Lepisosteus oculatus: one gene and its partner. The protein of the gene in region 1 interacts with the protein of each later gene in a pairwise test. Links are inferred from orthologs where the notes say so. Each region holds a gene or a part of one and is shown in the gene's direction. Other genes may lie near its edges.

Region 1 (7,327 bases):
TTTTAATGCTTTAAAAGAGTCTGGCCAGCCCCATTACACATCTCTGAACTACTTTATGTTTCCAATCCCTTTTGAAGGCTCTGGTCAGTTGAGCCTGGTGCTTTGCTCAATGTATCTAGGAATAAATCTCAGACTTTCAAAAAAACGTGCCTCATCTGTTGCAGCGCCATAGTTATGGAATGCCCTTCCTCAGACTCTGGGAGAGACAAATTCTCTGACTTTCTTCAAATTTAAACCCAAGACTCATCTCTTTATTAGGGCCTATGTCTGATTTATCTACATTCCAGCTGTATGAACCTGTATGTTTTTGTTAATTTTTTTTATTGAACTTTTCTTTTCTTATCTTGTTTTTCTCCTTATCACTATGTACAGTGTCTTTGGGTTTGGAAAGTTACTTTATAAATGAAGCACCTTTCCAAACGTATAAATTAAATGTTTAAAAAAGGCTTTAACTTTGGAGAATTGAGTGATGGTAATAAGTACTCTCACAAAATACTAATGATACCAAAAGAACATTATATTCACATACACATAAGTCAACAGAGTTATGTGATTTTAGGCAGAATCTTACTTTTTTTACAAACACGAAGTGTAAATGTGCTCACCTCGGGGCGTTTCAGTTCCTCAGTTGCATAATTCAAATTGTTCCACCCATCATAGGACCACAGACCTTGATAAAAGGCCACTCCTATGTTGTTTATGCCAACTATTGTGCCTTCAAATGCCTTGTGGAAGCTGTCTGTGTGTCCTCTAAAGAGCAGCAGCACTCCTCCGATCACGATCACCAACAGGGCCAGCACCTTGGCCACTGTGAAGATGACTTGGATGGACATTGAGAACCGAACATTGAGGCAGTTCACAATTGCTAGTGTCAGTATACAGGCAGCAGCCACACTCTTGACCACCAGCTGAGGTGGGTAGCAGCCCTGATAAAAGGGGGCCACAGCGTACTCTGCAAAGCTCAGGGATATTCCTGTAATGCTGGCTGGCCTCACTACAAACATGGAGGTAAAAGCGAGAAGGAAGGCTGGCAGAGGCCCTGACGTCCGGAGAATATAGATGTACTCCCCTCCCGATTCCCGAATGACAGTTCCCAGCTCTGCATAGCAGAGAGACCCCAGCATAGCCAGGACACCACACGCTGCCCAGATCACCAAGCTTCCTCCTGGACTTCCGATATTGTACAGCACCCACTGGGGGGACATGAAAATTCCTGATCCGATCATCGTGCCCGCTATCAGGGACACGGCACTGACCAAACCAACCTCCCGTTTCAGGCTGAATGTCTGCACCTTGTCATTGATCCCTGAAGATGTGTAAGATATAACAGAATTTTTCCTGCTCATTTTTCAAAATCTTGACCGTTTCAATCCAGCTGAGAGAGATCTCTGTTTTGAAGAAAATGAATTAGAGAGCAATGCTGCTCTGTCATGATGGGACAAAGTCACACTTACAGCAATTTATTCAGTTAATAATTACATTCCCAGGGTTAGAAAATGGGTTGAACTCCACTTGTGCAAAGTGTACTAAAAATATGGTACTAAAAATAAAAATGATGATAATGTATTCCAGAGGTGACCTTGCAGAAGGGATTATTTTCAACAGTAATTTTGTGGTAAAGGAATTTTTTTAAAGTGAACTAATAACCCAGAATTAAGTTACACTGAACAGAGGTTGAGGTGTTTTGATTTATTCCTGCATCAGTCCTTCTGCTTGCTAATGGAATAACAAAGAAGTACACACAAAATTGCAAGATGATTGTGGTTAGTGAAGAACCTTCCAAAATCTGCCACTTAATAATTGACTACATTCATGGGCTAGACATAGCATACATACTTATGTCACACTCTTATCTGTTTATGCTATAATTCAATTCAAGGTCCCTGTTCCAACCTACATCTGCTTGCATTACAAGCCTCCCTTGCACATATAATTCTCTGTGTCTACTGATACCCTTGTCTGCCTTTTTTTTCCCACCTCTGCTGCCCAGCTGATGTTATCATTTGTTTTAACTCTCCATTATTGTGTTATCCTGCCCCACTCTGATAGAACCAGCTGCTAGCAAACCCAACTCCATCTCTGAACAGCTTCTGTGACTTATTCAACAACCACCTACTTAACCTGTATTTGTAACGCCTGCTAAAAACAGGAGGAAGCATTTTGGTCCATCTAGCTCATCTGGTTTTTAGTAGGTAACTGCTATGAAGATTTCATTTAGACATTTATTTAAAGGAGCTAGGGAACTCTCTTCAACAATGTATAGAGCCTTAAAAAATATTCAGACCCTTGAACACTTTTCACATTCTGTTGGTTTCAAGTTTGCAGTCATGGCACTTTGAAGTAGCAATGAACATTTATTATATACAAAACCTGATCTGTAAGTAAACACAAAGACCAAAAAAACAAACAAATAAAGAGATTAAGTGGTGAAATGTATTTACTGTACTTGTACAAAATTACCTCAACAATTAATTTAACATTTAGTTGAGTGACCTTTCTATGAGTGCATTAATAGTGGTTAACATAATTTAAGAATAAATACACGTCTCTTTAAGATTCCTCAGTCAGAAATGAGGAATGACAAGCTGCAGCATAACGTAATGCTGAGACCACCAGTAGGTATGTTACTGACTGGATGATGTGCTGTGTTGAGTCTGTGCCAGATGTAGCTATTTGATTTAGACCAGTCTTTTTTTTTATGTCTGGCTCAAAAAATGTTTGTTACATGTGTGCATTAACATTTAAGTGTTTTGTTGCATTTGTAAAAAAAAATGCAAAAAAATAGTTCAAGTAGGTAGCTGTGTCAGAATGCTTAGGCTGCAAAGGAACAACAAAAGGTTTATTCCATGCTGAAAAGAGAAGAAAAGTAACAAAACATTTTGGCTGTGGAGCCTTCTTTGGTTGTAAAAAATATAAAGCATGGATGACAAGCACTGCCACTCACGATCCAAAGAAAGCACACTTTATTTCTGAGAACAAAGTGAAAGACGATGTGCTCTACTGGAGCTTGCAACAGAAGAAGAAAAAAAGAACTGTAATACAGGGCACGTATTTCGCTCACCTAGATTCCCTCTGAATCCCTAAACCCAGGCGGGGTTCTCCTTTTTATTCCCCATTGGGGAGCTGAGAGGCTTCAAGGAGAGGGGCTTTCACACCAGCAGGAGTGGAGCCCCTTTGCCCTCACTGGACTGAGTCCAGAAATTTCCATCCAACCCCTGACCCCTCAACAGCACAAGTCTCCTCAGCAGCCACACACCCAGGGCTGTGATACCAGAGCAACGCAGCAGCGCTGCTCCCCTCTCCTGACACACAGACATCACTGCGTGTGGAGGGAACTCTTTACACAGTGTTTATGTGGTCAGTGTTAAATTCCATGTTGCAGATAACAACATTCGTTATGAAGGTCTTAAATGATATTTTGTATAACAAACTTGCATTTCTTTCTCCAGATACACAACGTGGATGTAATTATACACACATTGTAAAGAGATAAAGGCGAAGGTCAGACACGCTAGTTTTGCCCAGTAATTAAAATAAGTAAACATCTTGTCAGAGAGGTACACACATCAGTAATATAAAAAGTTATCTAAAAATACAAATATGATACTAGGGTTTAACTTTCAGCTCTTCTTCTAGTATTACCTTACTACATAAGAACATAATCCTTTCTCTAGAAGTTAATTTAACAAACTTAAATATACTGTCAATTGTTTTAACACACAAGCTTACATCTGAATAATTTACATTTACAGTTTTACTAGAACAGAAGTTCAGATGCCCAATCAGTACTCCACGCTGCGGGACTAAATATCACTAAACACAGAAAAAATGGGATGTCAAAAGGTTAACATCAGGAGCAGGGTTTAAACTGTCTCATTAATAGCATCTCCTGAAGTCAAACAAATTTGTAAATATTAAAAAAATGTAAATATGTCTATATAAACCAGTTTAAATAATACTACATAAACTTAAACCTTACAAAATACCATTTTTCATCAATTAAGCAATTTACACTGTTTCAAATTACGTTAGAAAAATGATTTCCCTCCATCTCTACGTAAACCGTTAATAAACCTGGATTTTGCTGACCTCAAATAAGTGCGACAAGACAGACAACCACGTGATTTCCTGAATTCTATTTATATTGCCAAATGTCTGCTTCCTTGATGCTGTTAACTAGCGATAAGCCGCAGTTTCTCTAGAGACAGCAAGGGTGATGAGAACGTACCTAAACGAATGTTCTCCTACGTGGGGCGCAAATCTCTAAATAATGCTAAAAACGAAACAAACCCGAAACTCGGTAACCCCCCCGGCTTGTGCCGCCGTGCTGTAGCGGCTCCCATCGCGCAGGTCTGTGGCGGAGCCGCTGCAGCTCCTCCCTCTGCCTCTGTCGCCATGTTGTCGGTGCTCCTCTAGCCCAAGCTCAGTTCGAGAGGGGAGGGGGGAGAGGGCGACACTTCCACTGAACGTACCACGTACAAACCAAAACCATTAAAACACCGACATCCACCAAAAAACAAAACAAAGTCTGTATATAATAATAATCCATCGCCATCCAGCAGCACGGCCTGTGAGTATCCCGTCCATCCCCAGGTTTGGATCAAATGCACACCTTGAGGGACTCCATTCCGGGATTATTGCCAGGGACCGAGTGTTTAGAACATGTTTTATTATTATTATGATATTTCCTTTTGTTTAGCGGGTAAGGCTCTCTGTTTAGAGCAAGGAGGGGGGCCATGTTAGTGTAGTAACCCAGCAGCAATGGCTGGCGCAGGTCTTCTCGCCGAGTTTGTGTTTCTGTTCGAGCTTTTCCGCGGATTGTTTTAAAAGAAGCTGGAAGCTTCTGTTTTGGTTTATAGCTTTCTTAAGCGACATACTGGGGACGGTGGGCAGCTGTATTATTCTGTAAATGCTTTTTGGGTGCTTTTGTCCTGCTTTCCTTTTAAATAATATTGAAGGTAAGAGGCCTCAGCTGTTTGTAAATACTGCTCTTGATGCTTTTTATTATGCTTTATGCTTTCGTTAGACGTTTACCAGCGCGTGTTTATGTTTACGAGGATATTATTTTTTGGATCTCCACTTTTAAGTAAACATAAAATAATGTTTTTGAAGTCATAGTGCTGACACCTCGAGAGTTTTCTTTTTGTCTACTTTGGTAGTGATGGATTTCCTTTTATGTGCCATCCTGTGTTATTTATTGTTTGAAAACAATTTGAACTCACTTCACCGTCGTGAGCTGGAGTAAAACTGTCCTGGTACAGGAGAGGTTCGGTTCTGCTTGGCTTCTTTCCCGGTCTCTATTTCCAAGAAGTTCACTTGTTTACCAACAACTGGGTCATTTTCTTTCCGTGCAACTAAAAATATCCCTATGCATAAAGACTTTTATATTTTGTGCTTCCCCATAGGTGTAAAGACCCGTGTGATAATACAGACGTGTGTGCGAAGAGTTAATTTTAATAGCTCTTGCTTTCTTTTTTCTCGATGTAGTTAAATGATCCTGGCTGTCTTACACTTAGCCTGTCTTTACGGTAACTAGGCCTCATTCCTTGTTTATGCTTTGTCTTCTCAAAAGCTTCTCGCAGACAGTGGTGGTTCTGTTAATACAGCTTCTGCAGGCGACCGGTTAATAATACCACTGATACATGTAGGACAATACTACCATTAGGAACACAGATCAGATTTTGAAACATAAAGCTAATGATGTTGGCTGTTCTAGATTGTATTCATTGCTAATATAAATCCGTGTGCATATAAATGTCTTTGTGGGCTACATGTTATTATTGGCCTAAACCATATGCAGCAAGGGTGTTAAAGACTGTTCTTTCACATTTGTCTGAAAAGTTGTTGCTGTTTACAGTGCAAACTTGCTAACCTGCCATGTATAAAATATGTATTTTACTGTTTCAAAGATGTTACTTTTTTTATGACCAACCTCACAGTGATGGAACTGTGGCAAATACAGCCCGTCTACTCAGCAGGCTGAAAAGGTCATGGTTTTGAGGCACTGTTGTAGAAGGAGTGGGGGGATGGGCAGTTAAAAAAAAGAATAGTCAGTGCTATTTTATGAAAAAAGCATCTCACTTTATGTGATGGTATTCAGTTTTTCTCCGTGTATTACACAAGGCAGGGCACATTCGAGTGCCTGATGGATGTCATTGAAGGATATATTATTTGGTAATCACTGAGCAGTGTTTTTAGACATTTTGCAGTGATGTATCAAGTGTGTAAATGTGGAAGTCACGTTGTTAAACAGCGAAACTGAAATATCTAAATTAAATTGGAAGTCTAGTTATGTGACACTGCATGCCATTTTTAACTGAAGTGCATTGCAACAGTGTTGTGATTCACATGCAGTGGATTCAGTTACAGTACACATAGTCTAAGTGCATTAAATATTCTACCAAAGGCAAGAGCATGTCAGATCATAAATTTAAAGAATCGGTTCTCAGGTTAGTTTAGTTTTTTTATAATCCTTCTTGTTTTTTTCCATCTTTACTGATTGAGTTATATACAACAGGCTGACAGCTCTAGGATGACAGAGGTTATGCCCAACAGATAGTGAAAGTCCTTGTAGTTTTTGTGTGGTGTTTGTACTGAAGGGACTCTTAAGCATCTCGAGAGAGAAAAGAGTGCTGCTTACTCTTTAAAGAAGTTTGGAAATGCTAAAAAAAAACTATCTTTTTTTTTGTTTAGAAACACAAAGCCCAAGGTGCCTGGAAATGCAAATAGTAAATAAAATAAACATAATTATTTAACAATATATTATCCATAAACCATCGTATGATAAAACAAATGTTCATGTTTCAAAGTGGATGTTTTGCCACAAATGATTATGTTCTTTGGGATATTATATAGCTTTTTCATTAAAATGAACAAATAGTCCTCCTGTTGATGCATGTATATATACACACCACATTAAAAAGCTATTGAGAAGTCCATCATAAAACTTTAATATTTGTTTACCAGCCATGCTTTTTGCTTATTTGTTAATTTCTGATTTATCTGTTACTTTGTTCTTGATCTTTGAATGGTTAAACATTTAAACTAGAGAAGGTGTGTTTAAATTGCCCAATCCGCTGTATTCTTGAGCTGTGTTACTCTGAAGATGGTGTGCACAGCACCTTAACTCTTTCTCCTGTCTATGTGCACAGCATATAATAAATTGAAATTTTTTTCTTGAGGGTAAAGTAACTGTAGGCCTATATTTTTATCAAAATAAAACAAGAGTTTGGAAGATTGCAATTTTCTATTTTTTTCTTGTCAGATATGATTTTCTATTTTGTTAGAGTCACAATTTCATAGTTTTATGATCGTAGAACTCAGATCT
Region 2 (6,911 bases), on another chromosome or scaffold:
AATGTGTGTATGTGCTTTGTTACTGCGATAACAAGTGCAAATATACATAGAAAATGTTAAACATTATAACATTTTACAAAGTATATAATCTTAATATAGTCAGAAGGAGCACGTAAAAACTATTCCAAAATATCCACAGTATGTAACCGAATGAAAGACTTTGATGGTTAAAATGTTTAGGAAGGAAGGGGAATACTGGTGTGTATTTTTTTTAAACTACCAATACCAGCCATATACAGTTTACATAATATGATTATGTTCCTAAATTTATATCGCTTATGACCTTTAGACGCTCCTCTTCTTTTTATGAATGGCTGCATCTGTATATACTGAAGGTCTTTCATAAAGGGTGGCATGGTGGCACGGTACAGTAGGTAACACTGCTAGGGCCCTGGGTTTCAATTCTGGAACTGATGTGCTATCTCGGTGGAGTTTGCATGTTCTCCACATGTACACGTGGGTTTTTGCTGGGTTCTCCAGGTTCTTCCCACAGTCCAAATACATACTGGAAGGTTAATTGGCTTCTATGAGAATTGGCCCTGGTGTGAGTGTCTAAGTGTACCCTACAATAGACTGGCATCCCTTCCAGTATGTAACCCACCTTGTGCCCATTGCTTGCAGGGATAGACTCTGGCTCCGCCATGACCCTGTATTGGATAAAGCAGTTAGAAAATAGATGTATGGGTAGGAAAATTATTATTGTATTTGTCCTAAAATTAATCTTCTGTAGTGAAGATCTTTGTTAATGCATTTAATTAAGTCATTATAATCTGCAAAGACGTGAAGCATGCTAACAATGTGTAGTATAACTTAAAAAAAAACAGAGTTCTGTATGACCTTTGCTGTAATAGTTCATTTGTAATAGGTTACGAAATAGCTCATTTGTAAAATTTGATTGGTTTAAAAAAATACAATTTTAAATACAAAGACGTATATTACTGTTGTATTCTATTGCAAAGAGAGCTACTCAAGCATTACACATTTAAATTAAGCACTCTGAAATACTGTCTTTTATTTTATACCAGCTCCTACTAAAGACTAGGCAAACATATGAATTGCTCAACATAATTACCCAAAACCCTGCAGTGATGTCTCAAAGGAATTACAGTACAGTGGAGATCTCCAACCGTTTCTGGAGTGTTCAATTAAGGGAACTCTTGTCCTTGAACTCTTGTTCCTAATTATCTTTAAATTGTTTCATTTAGCAAATCGCTTGCCATAGATCGAAGGTCATATTTTAGAGGCCTTATGAAATTTGTGATATAACGGTTAAGTTCTGCCGGCCGGTGATACAGGTACAGTATAGTCAACAATTCTAATTTTGTGTCAAAAGGTGGGGTTGCCATCTAGTGGTATAAAAGAGTGGTCATGCAATATTTAAACTCAACCTTTAAATATGTGTGGCTTAACAGTTCACAAGCAAATCTATATTTAAATATTTTTGCATGGTAATTTGGTTTTGCCATCTTACCTCAGAGTTTAAAGCTCAATGAAGTTAAAGCATTTATTAATTCACCTGGTCAGTCACAATAAAGCAGTCAGTCACAATAGAGCTAAATTTCCAGTATATTTACAAAGTATTTTGAATATTATTCTCCTGGGCATGTCTGGGGGGATGTATGATAACTATGTGCCATTACATTGGGGGGGGGGGGGGGGTATTCTGTTTATAATGTAGCATAAGACATTACTTTCCATTCTGGTTTAATTAATAAAATAATATCTTACAAATATAACAATAATTCCTTACTCTTACATAGCATTTTTCTGGACACACCACTCAAAGCCCTTTACAGGTAATGGGGACTCCCCTTCACCACCACCACCAAGGTTCAGCCCCCACCTGGATGATGCGATGACAGCCATACTGCATCAGTACACTTCACCACACATCAGCTACCAGTGGGGAGGAAAACAGCAATAAAGCCAATTCATAGATGGGGATCTAGTTCCAGCCACTGATTGGTAAAGGCCAACAGAAATTTGGTAACACCCCTACTCTTTTCAAGAAATGACCTCAGTGTGATATCTCATCCAAAGGACAGTGCTTTTTTACAGTGTAGTGTCCCTGTTACTATATTGGGGGCATTAGGACCCGCACAGACTGCATGGTAAGCACCAAGCACCTATTGCCCCCACTAACACCTCTTCTAGCTGTAACCTAAGCTTTCCCAGGAGGTCTCCTATCCAGGTACTGACCAGGCTCACACCTGCTTAGCAGCAATGGGTTGCCAGTTGTGAGTTGCAGGGTTATATACAGTAGCTGCTAGTAATCCTCTATTTTATTAATTTTAATTAATAAAATAGTTTAGATGCAAAAGAAGCTAATACAGTACATGTCAGTGCGGCAATCCACAACAATATTGTAACGCTACAGGGTTCACATGGGCACCCTCACCCTTGCCGCCTCAGGTCAGCCCCCCCACCATCGGGGACTCGAACCCAGGCCTCCGGCATCACTCAAGAGGGACCCAGCCACTTGAGCCAAAGGGAAATCTCCCATCAGCCTGGTAGCTGCAGTCCCTGCTATTCACAGGGAAAGGCAGTGACGTCACCGCACTGGTAAGCCGGCTCTCACAACCAATGGAGGCTTTATGCGTTACACTCTCCCCCGCTTAACTCGCCGTCCTCGGCGAAGGGCTATCCCACCCTGCTTCTGACACCAGTGTAACGCCTACGGCCTCCATTGCTTGTGGTGGTGAGGGCACCCATGTGAACCCTGAAGCGTTACAATATTTTTTGTAAACTAACATTTTTGGTTGTATACTACTGTACTGACAAATACATAAATATCCTATATAAAAAGTAGGCAGTAATCACACAACTTTTTCTTCCCATTATATTTTATTCACTTTTTGTATTACAGTAAGAATGCAGGAAGATAATGAAGATAACAAATGAGAGGAGGCCAACTAGTCCACCTTGTTTATTTGGTTTATGGTAGCTTAATTGATCCAAGGTCAAATCCAGCTGGTGTCTATACAGTAAATGATGTATTTGTATGCACACATGTGCACCCTGCAGTGGACTGATGTAGTTTTACCATGCAACCTACATTATTCTGTTGCTACTGCGCTTATTGGGAATAAGTAGCTTTCTGATAGTGCAATGTACATTATGTAGCCCTTTCTTAAGGGTCCCAGAGAACAATCTTAAAAAAAAAAACCGCATCTGACAGTTTGTTAGTCCCTCACAACATTTTGTGCAAAAGAATTGCTTCCTGATGTCAGTCCTAGACCTGATGTTAGCTGCGTGGAGTTTGTACACTCTTCCAATGTTTGCCTGGGTTTCCCTGGAAGCTCCGGTTTCCTCACACTGTCCAAAAACATAACGGTAGGTTAATGTGGCTTCTCTGAAAACCGGGCCTCGTTTGAGTGTGTGTCTGTATGCTCTATAACGGACTAGTTACCCGAAAATGGACAGAACGGTTAGAAAACGGAGGGATGGGGAACCGGCACCGCAAATACAGTTTGTTGGTCTCACAATGCTTTCCTGGTCTTACGCTTTACAATAATTCCTTAATTCATTCGACCGGCCAATATAAAACGTTTAATCATACACTGTAATCGGTTTCACAATTGAATTTCGAAATAAATCTTCCCAAGGCAGTTTCGACGATTTCCATACAAGTGACGAATCAAGCTAGGAAGAGCGCGCCGTTAGGGAAGGCTTCTGGTAAATTAAGTAATCCCATGAAGGGCGAGGGGGGGTAATAGATACATTATGGTATATGAGTACATTCTTAGGTTGTAATGAACATAAAAAAATGAAAGCCTGATTTTCTATTAATTAATGTGATCAAGTAATGTGTATAAATAAAGTATAGATGAGCTAATTAAGGAGTTTTGTAATTGAAATGCACTCCCGTGTCTACCCACAGTTCATTTTTGGATTGTCCCAATTAAACTAAGTTTATTTAGTAGTGGATAGCGGCAGCGTTGGAATTGTTTGCCTATGGACAGTGCTTGGGGGCAAATTTTCTTGTTTGGGGGGGCAATATAAAGGTTTATGCCTTGGGAAAAGCGATTAATTTATTGTACAGTTTTAATTATTTTATTTATAGAAATGGTAAGTAGCATTCCGTATCGCCAACACTATCTCCTCATAGGTGGGGCCAAAGTGCTAATGGCTCGTAGAGGAGAGCGGGAACGAGTTTTTTTATTGTATTGATTAATATCAATAAATAACCACTATAGTCGGTTGTGTATTTCGCTTAACAGTTTATCTTCATTTCTTTGCGTTCTGTATCGTAAAAGAAACGTTTTACATATCCGTTGGCAACTTGCCATGCTCACGAGTTACGAGGAATCTGACATAAATCAATGAAACCGTGCTTCATACTGTTTTTATGGCAATGCTTGGTTTTATATTTTATCATACTGTAAATAGGTTGTTTTTCAAAAGGAAGTTATAGGAAGTATGATCATGATCCCCGACGATCAGATTAAAATAGTGGTTTTGGTGTGGAGTTTTTTTACGGGTGAGGTTCCACGTGTAATTCGCGTTTTTTCGAGGAAAGGTGCCAATAGTTCCTAGCTAAACCCAGAAATTATGCATCAATTAAAGTTTATTTCAATAATCTGTATCTTATCCCCTACGATAAGTATATGATGGATTAAAATTAGACTAGACCGTACGATGAAAATCGAGAATCACTTGCTGGGGAAACGAGCCTTCCTCGATTTTCCTCTTCCAGTCCACAAGTTTGGAAGTGTCCAGTATGTGCGTTTATTACAGATCTTAAAAGGTTAACGGAAATTGAATATAACTGCGAAATACACACGAGTGTGTATGGTCATGTTAGGAATCGGTCGAATATGGGTTTCTCTCCTTCAGGTTTGGAGATCAGAGAAATGGTGAAGCAGGTGTTGGAAGTGGAGCCGCACGGTCGGCTATGATGGCGATTTAACTTTTTCAGTAGCTGTGGACTATAACCAAAGTATATTGAATAAAGTTATTAATGAAATACTTAAACCCCGTTAGTCATGGCCGAAGTATGGTGATCTACTATATTTGCTCATTTTTCAGTCTGACAAGGAGAAACCCAACACAGCGATAAACGCATCTTACACTTCCCCTTCGCTGAAAATGGCAAACGGATACGTTTTGCCCGAAGGGAAGATAACGCCGAATACACTTTTTGTTGGAGGAATTGATATGAAGGTGAGTACAAAGAAAAACATTGGACGTAAAATTAGCTTGAACAGTTAGGCTTAAAAACGCTTTGTGTTGCAGGTGGATGAAAATGAAATAAGGGACTTCTTTGCAAGATACGGTGCCGTGAAGGAAGTAAAGATAATCACTTATCGCGGGGGCATTTGTAAGGGGTGAGTTTGTAAGTTAAGCTGCCTGTTTTTTATTTAAAGATAGAGTACTGCGCCTTCATAGATTCTCATCAGTGTTCTTAAATATTGCCAGTTAGTGCCAATGTACGTTTACTAGTTGACAGAATACACTATTTCATTGCATTTAGGTGTTTTATGAAAGAAGTAGCTTTAATGCATGTAACATGATTATTTCCTCCACCCCATAGGTATGGCTTTGTATCATTCAATGAGGATGTGGACATTCAGACCATTGTTGAAGTAAGAACGTCTGGAAGCTTGCCCGTCTCATAGATGCCGTTCACAGTATTTCAGTATTCGCATAGTCAAAGTTATAGCTGTTAGCTGCATCCATCTTTTGCATGCATGCTAATGTATGCCTGGGCCCATGAAGGTACCTTTTAATAAGACTGATAATCTGTCAAGTATTCCTCTTTCTTCATCCTTTGATCTGTTCTCCGTTTTTAAATGCACTTCCATGTGGAAACCGTTGTCTTCTGGTTTGCGTTTTGCTGAATTAGTTTGTGAATGTGAAGTCGAAAGGTTTGACTTCATCAGTGCCTTAAGGGATATCGATAAAATTGAATTGGGTCTCTTCTTAGTCTTCTCTGTTCCATATTCAACCCAGTTTTTAGCTTGTCGTCGTTTTTAAACTGTTAATGTTTTAAGCCCAGGAATGTATTGTCTGGTTGCTCTCTGCACTGAGCAGAGAATCAATAATGTTGTGCAATGTTATCCAATATTGTATACAATGTTCTGTATGCGGTCGTAGAAGTATTATAGATGTCTGTATGAATTTGCTGTAAAGTGCTTTCAGTGGTTGTGTTTTAGAGACTGCCAGATTTGTGTAAATCTGGCTTTATGTAAAGTTTCCATGGAGTAATTCTTAGTGTGAAAATTTACATTAGTGTCTAGCAACATAACTACTTGTGTATGGAGAAAAGGCAGCTATCTTGCTCTTGCAGTCTGCATCCTCAGTTTTGTTCCTTGGTGCCTTGTGTGCATAATTTCTCTCAAGAGTACATTCTCTGGAATAATTTCAGCTGTAACAGGTTAATCAAGGTTGCAAGATTTTCTAATGATGTAAAAAGTGTATATTTGTTTTGCTGGACTGCGTAAGAATGTCCTGACATACATAATTTCAAATGCATGTAAAGTTTGTGGAATCCCCTGATGTAAGTTGGGGAGTGTCTTACAGTATTTTTTTTTGTACTTGTGACTTGGTTTTGCTATGAATGGCTGGATTTGCAAGTTTTCTTAACCCAATATCTCAACTGTTATATGATTTTAATATAAAAAGCTTTGGTGAATTTCATAGATTACTTTTGTATTCCAAGCAATGTAAACTTGGAGCAATTTGTTTGTAGCACTGAGTTTTTGTAGCATGGTGCTGTTCACATTTGTTACATTTCTTATTGTAGTTGAGCGTTTTTCCATGATTAGTCCAGATAGCATCTCGAATGTTATTGAAATAGTGCTAAATGTGTGCATCAATGGAGATAAAAAGTAAGATGTTATCTTTTAAAAGATTTAAAAATTGGTAAAGCTAGCCATAGCAATGTACAATATCTGCAAAGTCAAAAGGTA

What was found.
Region 2: the proteins of pumilio homolog 2 (region 1) and dazl interact in a two-hybrid assay, tested with the Homo sapiens proteins (2 studies listed by BioGRID and IntAct). The link is inferred for Lepisosteus oculatus from reciprocal best matches to the Homo sapiens genes PUM2 and DAZL.

Annotation. Positions count from the first base shown.
Region 1 is NC_090697.1:25,729,650-25,736,976, forward strand, and holds the start of pumilio homolog 2, read left to right. Parts: upstream 1-4,306; 5' UTR 4,307-4,570; intron 4,571-4,735; exon of another isoform or gene 4,736-4,958; intron 4,959-7,327. Other genes in the region: b(0,+)-type amino acid transporter 1, read right to left, coding at 606-1,346. UniProt on the Homo sapiens protein: Sequence-specific RNA-binding protein that acts as a post-transcriptional repressor by binding the 3'-UTR of mRNA targets.
Region 2 is NC_090705.1:29,099,019-29,105,929, reverse strand, and holds the start of dazl (deleted in azoospermia-like), read left to right. Parts: upstream 1-3,886; 5' UTR 3,887-4,008; coding exon 4,009-4,068; intron 4,069-5,028; coding exon 5,029-5,163; intron 5,164-5,235; coding exon 5,236-5,327; intron 5,328-5,533; coding exon 5,534-5,585; intron 5,586-6,911. UniProt on the Homo sapiens protein: RNA-binding protein, which is essential for gametogenesis in both males and females. Plays a central role during spermatogenesis.